3 linked regions of the Coturnix japonica genome follow. The protein of the gene in region 2 interacts with the protein of the main gene of each other region in a biochemical or structural test. Links are inferred from orthologs where the notes say so. Each region holds a gene or a part of one and is shown on either strand. Other genes may lie near its edges. The genes, in order: PTPN12, BCAR1 and CRKL.

What was found.
Region 1: the proteins of BCAR1 (region 2) and PTPN12 form a complex in vitro, tested with the Homo sapiens proteins (3 studies listed by BioGRID and IntAct, with this or other methods). The link is inferred for Coturnix japonica from reciprocal best matches to the Homo sapiens genes BCAR1 and PTPN12.
Region 3: the proteins of BCAR1 (region 2) and CRKL interact in a test that uses a peptide from one of them, tested with the Homo sapiens proteins (2 studies listed by BioGRID, with this or other methods). The link is inferred for Coturnix japonica from reciprocal best matches to the Homo sapiens genes BCAR1 and CRKL.

What each region holds. Positions count from the first base shown.
Region 1 is NC_029516.1:11,313,226-11,317,714, reverse strand, and holds the end of PTPN12 (tyrosine-protein phosphatase non-receptor type 12), read left to right. Parts: coding exon 1-46; intron 47-684; coding exon 685-715; intron 716-1,501; coding exon 1,502-1,618; intron 1,619-2,185; coding exon 2,186-2,247; 3' UTR 2,248-3,518; downstream 3,519-4,489. UniProt on the Homo sapiens protein: Dephosphorylates a range of proteins, and thereby regulates cellular signaling cascades. Dephosphorylates cellular tyrosine kinases, such as ERBB2 and PTK2B/PYK2, and thereby regulates signaling via ERBB2 and PTK2B/PYK2.
Region 2 is NC_029526.1:680,884-686,139, forward strand, and holds the start of BCAR1 (breast cancer anti-estrogen resistance protein 1), read left to right. Parts: upstream 1-1,926; 5' UTR 1,927-1,958; coding exon 1,959-3,311; intron 3,312-3,844; coding exon 3,845-3,994; intron 3,995-4,140; coding exon 4,141-4,248; intron 4,249-4,441; coding exon 4,442-5,256. UniProt on the Homo sapiens protein: Docking protein which plays a central coordinating role for tyrosine kinase-based signaling related to cell adhesion. Implicated in induction of cell migration and cell branching. Involved in the BCAR3-mediated inhibition of TGFB signaling.
Region 3 is NC_029530.1:7,291,017-7,295,346, reverse strand, and holds part of CRKL (crk-like protein), read left to right. Parts: intron 1-2,162; coding exon 2,163-2,297; 3' UTR 2,298-4,330. UniProt on the Homo sapiens protein: May mediate the transduction of intracellular signals.

The sequences.
Region 1 (4,489 bases), on a different chromosome or scaffold from region 2:
GAGCATAATGCGTGATCAGCACCTCCCTGAACAAACAGTCTATACGGTGAGCAAAGGAGATGAGTCTGTGCTAATTATTCATTTTTAGTTCGGTTTGGAGCTACAATGAAAAAGCAAAATATACACAAAACAAAAACTTAGGGCTGTTGAGCATCTGCAGGCTGCTGATTGTTGCCCTGCCTCAGCTGCTGAACTGATGTGTGAAGAGCGAGCTTCCAAGATAACTGCTTTCTCAAAGCCCAGCAATGTCATTATTGGCATGCCTTAAATCAGATTAAGTAAATTCTCTTGGCATTTCTGCCTTTTTCTACACCTCCCCCCGAACGCTTTACAGCTGCCTTTGCGCACTGTTTAAAAGATTGCCGAAAAGGTAGATGTGAATTTCCAGGATCTTTACATTTAGTTTGAGAGAGAAACTACTCAAGTTTGTAAATGGTCTGTGATGTGATCCCTTCAAGTTCTGATGACATTTTAAGTCAGTAGTTTTGATAGTCCTGATGGTAAAGTGTTTGTTAGCTACTGTAACGTTTTGTTTGTCTTATAGCAAGTATTAAATGCTGGAATAAGCAGATATTCTCACAGATATTTCATGTTCTTTGAGGATATTTTAATCTTAATATTCTTATGTCTTCAAACTACTGAAAAACATTTAATAGAACCATTGTAAATGTTTCTCATTTACAGGGTTTGAAAACGGCTTCGCCTGTACTACCTGGTAAGTGATGGAAAAGGTTGTGGCCATTTTTATTGTTTTTTTTTTTAATATGAAAAAGAATGCTTTTTCCACTAATCAATTTGTCTAGCACCCCTGTAAGAGGAGACAGTTCAAGGAACTTTAGAACTGATAGGATGCATTGGGTGTATTTTTATTAGAAGATCAGAAAATAACTATATATAAAGGTTTCAGTGAGGAGAGCAGTCCATCAGCTGTTGCTCAGTGGTGCAGGAACCTGATCAAACAAATGGATTCAGCTGTGATCTTACTTGATCTGCTACGCACCTTCTGTGTGTGCTTAAATTAGCTGCTACAGTCCATTTGGGCTTGTCTTATATGCTTGGTAGAACTAATTTTAAACAGTGAAATAGTTTTTCAAAATATTCCAGGTTAGCTAATAGGTGATTATATAAATAATGCAATACATAGTTACTGAATGTGGCCTTAAGCACCTTGCATTCAGAAATGACATGGACAGATGAGTTTGTATTGATGTCCTAAATGGTACGTTGTGGCCTCTGGGGATTTTTAGATATCCTTTCAAGGTTCATTAAATGGAAGTTTTGTATTTGGTGAGCAGGGACGTGTCACTGGAATTGCTGAGCATCTGCATGTGAACGATTTTGAAGAGTGTTTTTAAGAGATTAGAAAAATGTGCTGCTTAATCTTTACTTTTGTAAACAGTATTTGATGCACTTAATGTTCCGGACTGAGCTGTACTTAAAAATAGCACCAAGTGCTGCCTGGATGAGCACTGCATTCAATGGCTGCGTCTTTGTTTTCCAGGTCGTCCTGAAATAAGCAACAAAACGCCAACGGATATTTTACCTCAGATTCCTTTTTCTGGTTCCAGTGATCCAAGAGGTCCAATTTCAGATCTTCCCACAGATGTAACAGATATTGGTAATTACAGTTCATTCAAAGCTGACTGCTTGATATTGGAACAGGAGATTTCATTAGCAGTGCTGGTTCAGAGAGCTGCTGCTGCCTTCCTCCAATTTACCAGTGTGCAAAACCCAACCAAATCAGCTGGCTCCGGCCCATCAGTGCCACTAACACTTTTACACAGAATGAGAACTGCAGGCGTTGGTGGGCATTAATCACTTTATAATTCTTTTTAATGAGGGTTGGGTTGTTTTTGGGCTTGATGATCTTTAAGGTCTTTTCCAACCTGAGCAGTTCTTACGATTCTATGATGTAACCTCTGCAGAGCATTGAAAACTTTCAGAAGTAACATCTGGAAAAACTGCTTTGGTTTAAATAGCGACATACAGACATGGGCAGTTTGTATATAATTATGTTTTCTATGGCTTTACCGCCTTTAGAGTTCTTGGTACCACAAAGCATTATCTTAGCCCTGAGAATAGAGCTGCTGGAGCACATCTTACAGCTCTCTTTCTGACTGCTACCAACACTTTGAGGTTGTGTTGTTGAAGTGCACAGCAGTATTAAACCCCTGTGTTTCTTTAGGTTTTGGTAACCGCTGCGGAAAGCCCAGAGGACCGAGAGAGCCGCCTTCAGAATGGACATGATCCAAGAGCTTACGGACACACTATCAATAAATTATACTGGAAAACTCAAGTGCCACTGAACTAGAAAAAATAGTATTCCACTTTTCTGGGGGGCAACTAACACAGAGCAGAGTAGATCTAACTACCAGATGGTACATCTTTACTGTACATCCCACGCAAAACCTTAAACATTGTTCACAACAGTGGATTCCAGTATTACAACTTAACTTCTTGCTGGGGCCATCTACCTGCCTTATTACACTTAGGAGAAAGTATTACATACGATTTATTTTGTAACTTCAAGTATTATTGCCTTAATGTCTTTTAACCCTGTTACACGCTGCTTGTAGACATATGTTAATATAGTAATACTTGGGACAGATTGTGTTTATGGACTACTTTTTGCTAACGTTTGATTACCGTGTATGCATTATTTTGTATATGTACAGGGCAAGTAAGTATATAATTTGATAAAGTTGCAATCATAAAATATTAACAGAAGATGTAAGAAATCTCTGCATGATCTAAATTTTTGTGTACCTTATTTGTAAATTATTTGCCCTGAAGTTTTAGAAAATAGTTTCTGGGGTTTTTGTTTTGGTTTTGTTTTGTTTTTTGTTTTTTTTACAAACTTGCTGGACACACACAGCCAGAATTGCAGGTTAGCAGAGATAAAGATTGTAATACATTTTGTAAATTGTAAGCAAAAGGTTATTTTTATATTATATACTGTTTAATTGTCAGACCTAATTTGTTCTGGTTTTCATCTAGTCACAGAGATTCAGTAAGTGCCTTGGAACAATATTGAATTCTCTTAGCCTGTGTATGTTACTTCAGTGTTTTGAGTTCATCTGGAATTAGATGATGGAGAATATTTGTATGTTTCTAGTATATTTGACCTGCCAGTAAAAGAGAAACCGTTCTACATCTTCAACACTCCTTAGTTTTCATTTGAATGTTTCATCGGCTGCAATTTGTAGAAAACTCATCTCTGGCAACTTTGTGTAGAATAGTTTCACCATTTGAATGTGGCGTGTTTCTAATTTGGGACAAACCAGAACACACTGAAAGGACTGTTAAATACCGCTGTCTTCTCTCTCAATGGTAAGTACCATTTTTGTCCTTCGGAGACTCTGTATGTAAGAAAGCAACTTATATGAAGGTTCAAGTAGAGCCCTTGCAGCTACACTGTATCTTGGCAGTATGTTACGTCGAGAGTTAATCCTTATAAGGATTCCTTACTTAAACTTTTCTGTAATAGAATCTTTAAATTAAAGAAAGTAAAAATTGCAGTATGGGTGTTTTTACTTTTAGGAAAACAGCTGTATTCAGAAGCAATCTAAAACAGATGGAAGGGTGGCAGCCTGGCTTAGCTTGTAGCTTCTGTGTGTGAATACAAATAGCGATCCTCAGGACTTCATCTCTGTTAATGACTTAAAGCTGTGGCTTGTAGCAATGCCTGACATGTTCAGAGTAAAAATGTTTATTTAGGTAGAGGAGCCGTCTATTAATGTGAACGTTAGCCGTGGAAATGCTGTGTTGAATTGACTGTTTGTGCCTTTAGGGTCTCTTTGCTAAAGGAGAACTGCTGCCCGGGTAGCAGCCCTGCCAACCATGTCCAAAAGATTCGTAACCTGCAATAACTGTTTTGGACTGCAGAGAAATCCCCGTGTTTCTCACCACTGCCTGCCTGGGGAGCTTTCAAAGAGCTGAATGTGCTATAAATCCTTCACCTTAGCTCCCCCTAGGTATGATTTTGCAATTACTCATTTAACAAAAAATCACTCACAGATGCTGTTGGGGCTGACCTGTAGCAGTGGCTGCCTGCTTTGTAGCAGCTGGCACAGCTGGGCTGTCCTGCACAATGGAGGTGGCCCGAGCTGTGTTACACTCCGTGCAGAGAAGATGAGCTTTGCCTCCCATGGTCTCACAGACCTCCTGCAGTTCTGTGATGGGCTGTTGTTACCTCTGGACAGTCCAAAGCACCGACAACTTGAAGCAGCTGCTCCATAAGAAAACTTCTGAATATATGTTAGCTGTGTGCTTTCAGAGTCATTTCCGTTTCTCTCTACCAGGAATATACAGAACTGTACAGATTGTGGATAATCCACTTTTCACATTAGACTCACTCAGAACCATGGCTGACAGAAATCACGTGTACTGTGCAGACCATCTAGGCTCATGTTTTCCCCCTAAGATTTGTGTGAGTTATATGGTATTTGAGTTTGTCATGGGAGATCCTCAGCTTCACTTCAGCAGCTCT
Region 2 (5,256 bases):
TGTTTCTTGCCTCCCTTTCCTGAAGATGAAGAGTGATTTACAGGGCTCCAGAAAACACAGCTTGGCTGCCTAGGAACTGGGGGAGAAAAAACTGGGGGAGGAAAAAAAGGGATAAAGCGTTGGAGAGAAGCCCTCTGTTGGCTATTGGCACCACCTGCCCGCAGAGGGCCTGGCCCACAGCCCCCAACTGCATCCCCTTGAATGGCCGCCGTGTCCCCGTGGGCTGGGAGCAGTTTGGGCACTGCTGAACGGCCCCTTGTGCTCGGCCCCAAACAAGGCTGCCATTGTGTGCGCCTGCCCCACGGCTCCGCTGTGGGGTCCCGTGTGGGATCCATCCCATCCTCCCCATTGTGCGGCTGCAGAGAACGGGAACGTGGCTGTTTTCTCCCCGGACGAGCTGTGGGTCGTGGCAGGACATGGGCAGCCCTTTGGGCTGTATCTGCAGCCTGACAAAACATCTCTGCCCCTGGAAAGGCGAGGGGATAAAGCCCCGTTGTGATCCTGTTGGGTCCCGTGATATTACAAGCCAACGGGAATGTCCTCATTATTTCCCCAATATTGAAGTCTAATAAATCCCCGGCTGCCTTACAGGATTTATTTATCCGTTCATTGCTAGGAGACTCAGTGCCGTGTAATCCTATTGCTGCTGCGGGGGGCGGGAGGCAGCTTTCCCAAGGATGGAGCCGCGAGGAAGCAGCCAAAAGCCAGAAGCCAAAAGCTGTGTGGGTCCGTGTGGGTCCATGTGGGTCCGTGTGGGTCCGTGTGGGTCCATGCGGGGCCTCTGCTCCACCGGGCAGCTTCAGCCCCACGCAGGGCACAGTGCCACCCCTCCCACATGTGATGGTCCCACAGAGCTGTGCCCCACTGTGTGCTGGGCTCACTGACATGTCATGGGATCATTGAATCGCAGAATGGTTCGAGTGGGAAGGATCCTAAAGGCGTCCTGCACTGAGCAGGGACACTCACAGCTCCATCAGTGCTCACAGCCCCATTCTCTGACCTTGGCTGTGTGCAGGGATGGGGCAGCACCAGCTCTGTGTGCAGCCTGTGCCACTGCCTCACCGCCCTGACTGTAAAGAACCTCTAACTTAGCTCCGGTCTGAAGCTCCCTCTGTTAGTTTGAAGCCATTTCTTGTGCCGTCAGTGAGCAGCCCGTCCCCATACACACGGCACACAGCTCCGGGGTCCCGCAGCCTTTAGTTTCCGTTTGGGCACCGACCTCCCGGGGCTGCTGCAGCACGGGGCGCTCCCCCGGGCACGTCCCGGCTGTGTTGCCGCCCGTTGAGGTGCCCGTGCCCGGGGCTGGCCCCGCAATCACCGCCGAGCGGAAGCCGCCGAGTTCCGCCTGCGGTCTGCGGACGATACCGCAGCTCCGCCGGCCCCGAGGGAGCGGACGAACGGCTGCGGGGCGGCATCGCGGGCTCGACGGGCAGCGCCCGACCGGCCTCGTGCCTCCCACGGGCAGGAAGAGCCCTACAAGGGCCGGGGAGCCCCGACGGGCGGCGATAGGACCGCGGCCCCGGCCCCGCGCCCCCCCCCCCCCCCCCCCCCCCCCCCCCCCCCCCCCCCCCCCCCCCCCCCCCCCCCCCCCCCCCCCCCCCCCCCCCCCCCCCCCCCCCCCCCCCCCCCGCTCCCCTCCCCTGCCGGCCCCCAGCGCGGCCCCGCTCCCTCCCGCTCCTCCCGCCGCAGCGCCGCCTCCCGTCGGTGCGTCGCGGCCCATGGGCGGGGCGGGGCGGTCGGGCCCGTGCTGGCACGGCGCTGGAATGATCCCTCCGGCGCGGCCGCCGCCGCCGCCACCGCCATCCCGGTTCCGGCCGCCCGCCGCGGGCCGCGCCTCTCGGACACGCAGTAGCGCCGCTCGTTGAGCGCCGCGGGGCCGCGCCCGCCAGGCGAAGATGAACTACCTGGTGAGCGGGGTCACCTTGCGGGACGGAGCGGGGGGCGGCGGGGGCGGGCGGATGGGGCCGGGCCGGGAGCGGCGGTCGGAGCGGATCCGTGATCAGCCGGGGACCGAGCGCCGGGAGCGGGGCCCGTCGGGTGGGGAAGGGCCGGACGGGGCCTCCGGGACCGAGCGCGGCCGTCACCGACCCGACCCGACCCAGCCCCCTCCGGCCACGGGGTCGGCGCTGCCCGCCCGGTCCGGGCACGGCTCGTCCCGCGGGGGGCGGGGGGCGCTGCCATTGCGGGGCTGCGCAGCGCTGCCGGCACCGCGGGATCCACCCGAGCGCGGCGGCAGGAGGAAGGACAGCGGGGGAGGGAGGGGGCACCGAGCGGGGCAACGCGGCATCACCGGCGGGACGGGCCGGCAGCGGGACGGACACACGGACACGGACACACACACGCGTGTCCCTGTGCCCGCCCGGCGGCCGGGGGGGAATTCTCGGTGCGGGCTGAGTCACCTCCATGGCACTTCCTCCCCGGCGGGAAGGGGAGGGAAAGGCAGAGGAGGTCCCCGACACCGGGAGGCGCGGGGGGTCCGGCCCCGTCCCGGCGCCGGCTCCGGGACGGGTGGGTTGAACCGGGACGAGGAGGAGCAGCGCCGGGGCCGCGTCGGGTGCCGGGCGCCCTTGGTGCCGCCGAGTCCATCCGCGATGAGTCCCGACCCGGCCCGTTGCGGGGCTCTCTTGCAGAACGTGCTGGCCAAAGCGCTGTACGACAATGTGGCCGAGTCCCCGGACGAGCTCTCCTTCCGCAAAGGCGACATCATGACGGTGCTGGAGCGCAACACGCAGGGCCTGGACGGCTGGTGGCTCTGCTCGCTGCACGGCCGGCAGGGCATCGTGCCGGGGAACCGCCTCAAGATCCTGGTGGGGATGTACGACAAGAAGCAGCAGCAGCAGCAGCAGGCGGCCGGGCCGGGGCAGGGCCAGGCACCGCCAGCACCACAGCCCACGTTGCCGTACCACCACCAAGGGGGGTACACGCCGCTGTCGCCCGCCTCGCAGTACACCGCCATGCACCCCTCCTACGCGCCACAAGGGGACAACGTCTACTTGATGCCGGTTCCTGGCAAGGGGCAGCAGGGCCTGTACTCGGGCTCGGCACCCGCTGGACAGTTTCCCCCGGCTCCGGCCAAGCAGCCCCCATCCTACCCCAAGCAAACGCCGCCCCACGGCTTCCCCAGCGCCGGGCAGGACATCTACCAGGTGCCGCCGTCCCTGAGCCAGGCGGTGGACGCTTTCCCTGCGGGCTCTGCCAGCCCCCCCCAGGACATTTACCAGGTCCCTCCCTCGGCTCAGGCTCAAGACATCTACCAAGTGCCCCCATCTTTGGATGCGAGGAGCTGGGAAGGGCCCAAGCCCTCTGGAAAGGTAGGATGGGGGTCCAGGTACGGCGGTGGGTTGATGCTGTGGGGCTCCAGTCTGTTGTGGGGTTATGGAGGGGGGGAGTGAAGCGCTTTTGGCTGAGATGAGCTGCGTTTCCCTGGAAGATCCAGTGGGAAAAAGGGGACACTGAGCACCGTGCCTCGTGGGCAGGGCACCCCATTGATTGCGAGCATCCCACAACCTCCTATGGCTGCCGCACCACATTGCACCGAGATGCGGGTGGGGGTCTGGGCTCGTCCTCCATCGCTGGGTCCCTCGGTGCCACAATTAACCTTCAGGTCTCCATTCTCATCGCACAGGGCGGCCGTGCGGCCGGGCTTTGTCTGTAGCCGAGGCTGGCTGCTATAAATAACCGGTGATCTCATCTCCGTCCCTCCAGCGTCACTGCACGGAGCGGTGACAGCTCCAGGCCGGACGGGGAGCGCCCTCGCGTGGGCACCCACCGCACGGTGCTCCCAGATGGGCTCGGGGGGCAGCAGCGGGGGGTGCGCCAGGCTCAGCCCTGCCCTCTCTCGTAGGTGCTGCTGCCCACCCGCGTGGGGCAGGCGTACGTCTATGACTCCCCCAAGGCTGAGAAGGATGAATACGACTTTCCCCGCCACCTGCTCTCCTCGGGCTCACAGGAGATCTACGATGTGCCACCTGCACGCGGTGCATTACCCAGCCAGGTCAGCAGGGATGTGGGGCTGCATGTGGGGCTGTGGGGTGATGGGCTGCAGGGATGCGGCACCCAGTGCTGGGCTGAGCCGTGGTCTCCACTGTGTGTGTGCTGGGGCCACTCTCCTGCCCCTCACACCATCCCATCTCTTCCCAGCAGGTCTATGACACTCCCCCCATGGCGGTCAAGGGTCCCAATGGGCAGGACCCAGGGCAGGAGATCTACGACGTGCCCCCCAGCGTGGAGAAGAACCTGCACCAAACCGTAAGTGCCGCAGGGGAAGCTCATGCACCAAAAGAGACACGTGAGGGTGGTGGTGCTGCAGGATTGCGCTGTGCACCTCTCCTTCCACGAGCCCACTGCACGCCCAGAGCTGTTCTTATGGGCACAGGGGAGCGGGGCTGGTGTGCATGTGTGTCTCCAGCTGCACTGACACTACGTGGTGGTGCCCTTGCAGGTATATGACGTGCCACCCTCCGTCAGCAAGGACGTGCCAGACGGCCCTGTGCGGGAGGAGACGTACGACGTGCCCCCCGCCTTCTCCAAGCAGAAAGCCTTCGAGCCCCCCCGCCACCCCCCGGTGCTCTCCCAGCAGGATTCCTACCTGCCAGAGGATGTCTACGACGTGCCACCAGCGGCTGGGAAAGCCGCCCCCGAGCCCTCGTTGTCCCACGAGATCTATGACGTGCCTCCCAGCCTCAAGAAGCTGGGGGGGTCGGCCTTCCCCTTGCAGGAGGTGTACGATGTGCCGCGGGACCTGCACGCCCCCAGCAAGGGCTCGATGGACATGGAGGGTGAGTACATCTACGATGTCCCACCACAGGTGGACCGCGAGGCCAAGGCAGCTGACACCAAGCGTCTCTCGGCCTCCAGCACGGGCAGCACCCGCAGCAACATCTCCACCTCCTCACTGGACACTGTGCCCGTAAAGGAGCCGGCCAAAGGAGCCGGCAGGGAGTTCTCCCTGGACTTGGATGCTGCCATGGAGATGCTGGCCAAGCTCCAGCTCGGCGTCAGCGGTGCCGTCTCCAGCCTCATGTCCTTCATCAGCACCAACTGGCGCAGCCCCGAGCACATGGAAGCCAATGCTGCCGGCATCCGCCTGGCAGCCGAGGGTGTTCAAACAGCCCTCAGGGAGCTGCTGGAGTTTGCCCGGGGGGCAGTGGGCAACGCTGCCCAGGCCTCGGACCGCTCACTGTACGCCAAGCTCAGCAAGCAGCTGCAGAAGATGGAGGAGGTCTACCAGGCCCTGGGGCGGCACAGCCAGGCGCT
Region 3 (4,330 bases), on a different chromosome or scaffold from region 2:
GAATAAAATCAGACTCAGAACGCCAGTCTGTGTGTTTCTTTTGCCCTGTGTACTACTGATTTTTTCCCATTAATAAGATTAAAATGCTTCCAAGTGACTTGTTTCTATGGAGTGGAGCATATGCAGTTTCCTGTTGGATTTTGACTGTCGTAGTGAAGCTTTCTGAATTCGAGTCTAAAACCTGGAACTCAAGTTTGTCCTTAAAAGTTACTTAAATCTAGCAGAGTAACACCGAGTTATTTATAGATGTTATCAGCCTTTTCCTAAAGAGGCTTTTGTTAGGTTCCTGTTTAAGTCATCGTGTTACTATATAAAGCTTTCTCTAGACTTTCCATTTAATGAGAAGTCAGACAAATTGTGCTTTTTCTCAAACACACCATCAAGACAAGCTGCAGCACTCCAAGAAGAGATGGAAACCAGCCACACTGATGCTACAGGAGCATGTAACTATCAGGCAGTGTATCACTACTTAGAGGATACACAGACTTTATCTTTTAGTTTACATACGTGAAGATGACAGTTGAAGAAAGTCCCACAATTATCACAAGAACGTATAGGAGTTCAGAGAGGATTTTCCTCTCTGGAAAGTACAACATTGTTCCACATGTGCCATCTGGAACATCTAGATGGGAAGTGGAAAAAACCTCTAAGTAGCGGTAAAAGCAGGGCAAGAGAGTGGGGTGAACATAATTATTATCTAACTCCATTCTAATATGCTTACATTTCTGAGAAATCTTCAGAGCTACACATTGCTGAGCGAGTGCCAGAGTTGAGTGTAACATCTTAAGTCTCACTTAAGGGTTAGGAATGCTTCTGAGCAATCTTCAAATAACGCTTTATTGCAGTAATGGTAACTACTTGCAGTAGGCTTTAGGAATATGTTTTGTAAAATCAGCCTTTTACTTTGAGTAAAGATGCACCCATCTAACTGAGAAGTTAGAATTCAAAATCCTTTGCCGAGGTCCTGAAACTACCTGTGTTAGTTCTACATGTCAGTGTTACTGAGATAATGCATATGAATTGTTATTATTGACATACTGTGTCTAACATGTTTTTCCCTCAAGAAGATCACAGCTTGTTGCCTCTGGAGCTTATAGAAGTTGGCTGCTGATGTGAAACCCGGCTGTGTAGTGCTTGAACCTCCTTTGGGGTAGAACCTTCTCAAGTGCTTACTGTTAGCTGTAGCATGGTTCTACCTTTTGTGCCCTCAGCTATTAGCTGCTGTTGTCACTTTTCTATACTTTACTATAGTTACCACATAGATGCAATTCAGTAAACAGGAAGGGAGATGCAATTAAGAAGGCTGCTGCAACAGGCCGCATGCTCAGCTCTTCTGAAACAGTTTAGGGGGAAATAACTATATAGTCTTCAGCACTGCCTGCTGTAGCACATTTTGCTTTATGAATTATCCTAATACAAATTAAACACAGCACCGAACAGAATAATTTACCACTTGAGCTGATGGCTTTTTCTTTTTTTGCTCGATCATAGCTTAGCTCTGCTCATCTTTGGCCAAATAGGAAGAGACGCAGTTGTGATAGGAAAGGCTCAACAAGTCACTGTTCCTGTTTCAAACTCTCTGATGGGAAGTGAAGGTGAAAGCAGCAAACCAAGCTAGAATTTGTGCATCTTAGACTTGGGAACACCTGTTACGGAATGCTTTTATCTGCTTTGGAAGCACAGCAGAATTGCAGAGAACTCCACCAGTTTCTTAGACCTTTACAGCCAGAACTGGAACTCTGAGTCTGTTTACTACAGGAATCTCTTTGAAAAAGATAATTTCCCTTTGAAATAAACCTGGTAATGCTGAAAACAAGTACTGTGCTCTTTTGAATGCTTGTTGCATCTCATTACTTGTGGTAGCTTTAGTGATGTCAGTCTGTCTAAGCTAAATATATTGCAGCATGAAGAAGCTTTTTTACAGGAAAAGGTGTGGTTCAGCAACTCATTGCAACATGTAAATATACATTCAGTTCAGCTGTCCCAAAAAGTGTACAGATTTCCAGCACCAAAGTGTTTGTATCAGTTAAAAACAACTGCTTTCCCTTTAAAGCTAAAGGTATTTTAAGTTACGAAGTCGTATTTTTTGTTCTTGTTTACTTGATTTGTATCAAAGCTGAGATTCTCATGTGTGCTAACAGGTGTTTTTTTTAATGCTGCAGGTTGGAGATATTGTGAAGGTTACAAGGATGAATATAAACGGTCAGTGGGAAGGAGAGGTCAACGGGCGAAAAGGGCTCTTCCCATTCACACATGTCAAAATCTTTGACCCTCAAAACCCAGATGAGAACGAATGATTCCCTTGATCTGATTTACACTGCTGCTTCCCTTTCCTGGCTCTCATTAGTGTTGTTTGAGGTGGGATGATGGCTAAATGGCACATTGCTAGCATTGCCCATTTTTCCAGCTTGCTGCAGTTTGACAGTTCTTTTAATACACATTTGGAATACATACAAACTGAAGTCACTGCCTGACCTTCATACCATAGATACAGCAACCAGAATTTGGTTTCACTTTTAAAACTGTATTGGGCCTTAAGCTGGAGAAGACTGAAGCAAATAGCAGACAAGCATGGGAAGAAAATCCTTCTTCTTGAAACTTCCATGGACTTGTTCTGGCCTGCTCAGTAGGAAGAGCCCTATCATAGAGCAAACATGCAACTCGTCTGTTACTGTCCAACAAAAAGCAACAACAAAAATGCAATTTTAGGACTGAAGAAAACTTAGTTTTAAGAAAACCTGCCCTAAGGTAGTACACTTACAATGATGGTCTCTTAAAAGGACATTAACTGAAGCTTACGTATTCTAAGCAGTTGCATTAGAAGCTGCTCATTCTGGTTAACTCTTAAGCTTGTTGACCTTCCTGGAAGTGTGTGTTAAATACAAATAACCATTGGTTGAGCTGCATTGAAGCTGAAGCATTTATTTATAAGGAAGCTTAGGAGGGGTTCACACTTGTAACCCATTTCTGACATAAAGTATTTCTGTTGATTTTGCAAGCACTAACTGTAATAAGTGAGCGTTAAAGGGAAACACTTTGACCTGGTCTACACAGAGCCCTTCTGCAGTGTTGGAAGTAGAGCTTTACTAATGTAGTAATGCTTGTCACCCAGCTGTTATTTGGTAGGCAGATGGATCAGATTGTTACAGCATGAAGAAGTACAAAAGGAACAGGACAGAAGACATTGGTAAATACTGATAAATTCTTACTATTTAAACATAAACCTTTTATACCTGTTTCTCTATAGTCTCCCTTATTGCTCTCAAGTTTCCTGGCTATACCTGCCCCAACTTGCTGAAGGCTTTGAACACAGTACCTTTTTCTCCAGGGTATCTCCACGTTGCCGTGCTCCTCTTCCAGAAGTTCTTTCTTCTTTCATTTTCTTCCCCTCACATCACAAGTCATTCACATGCTGCAACCTTTCACCTTCCAAAGGAGTTGGCTCTGGCTTATATACATATGCCCCAGACCCCTCCTACTCTCAGCTTCCTCTAGAAAGTGGTTAATTGGAGTCAGCTGCCAAAGGTTTTACACCTGATAATTAAAGTTCATGCTGGAGGAGGCCACACAGGTGTCTCTTATCAATACAGCTTTCTCTCCCCTTTTCTGTACAAAAGCTGTACTGTTGTAATTGCACCTTTGGTAAGGAACTATATGGCTGTAGCTATGTGAGTCTTATCAATGCCACGCTGGTCAAGTTCTTAACCTGTTTACGGGATATGAAAGTTTAGGGACAGTAGTATCTTCTACCTTCTTTAAATGTGTTTTCAAGGTGAACTGGAACGTATTTTTTAAATGATTTGAGCACCAATTGAACAGAATACAGCCTGGATAAAGAAAAGCATCTGCTGCAGAAAACCAGGGATATCTGACAGGAAAACAGTAGTGCCCCAATGCATTCATTTCTCAATATCTGAAGCTATCCATTGTAGCAAAAAGAGAAACCTCAGACACCCGCAGAACCTTCCTGCTTCTTATAAATGTCAGTTTGATCATTGTCTTCAGATCCAGTGCATTTTCTTACTGATTGTGTCACTTGATCCTCATAAAAGTACATTGTTCTCACTCAGCTGAAAGTACCTTGAATGGAAGACACTGAAGAAGTGTAAGAATAGCATTTCCAACAAGAGATGTAAAATGCTGTTGTGTTTGTTTTTTTAAAGAAACTCGGTTCATCTGTTAGTTACCTTTTGTAGTATTAATCAAGTGGCTGACAGTCTAGAAGTTCTTGTAGAGCATTTTATTACAAAATTAACTGTGAAGTAGAGTAGCATTGACTGAAGTGTTTGGTGCTGTAAGAGTAATTCTTGACAATAGGCATCGACAGGTT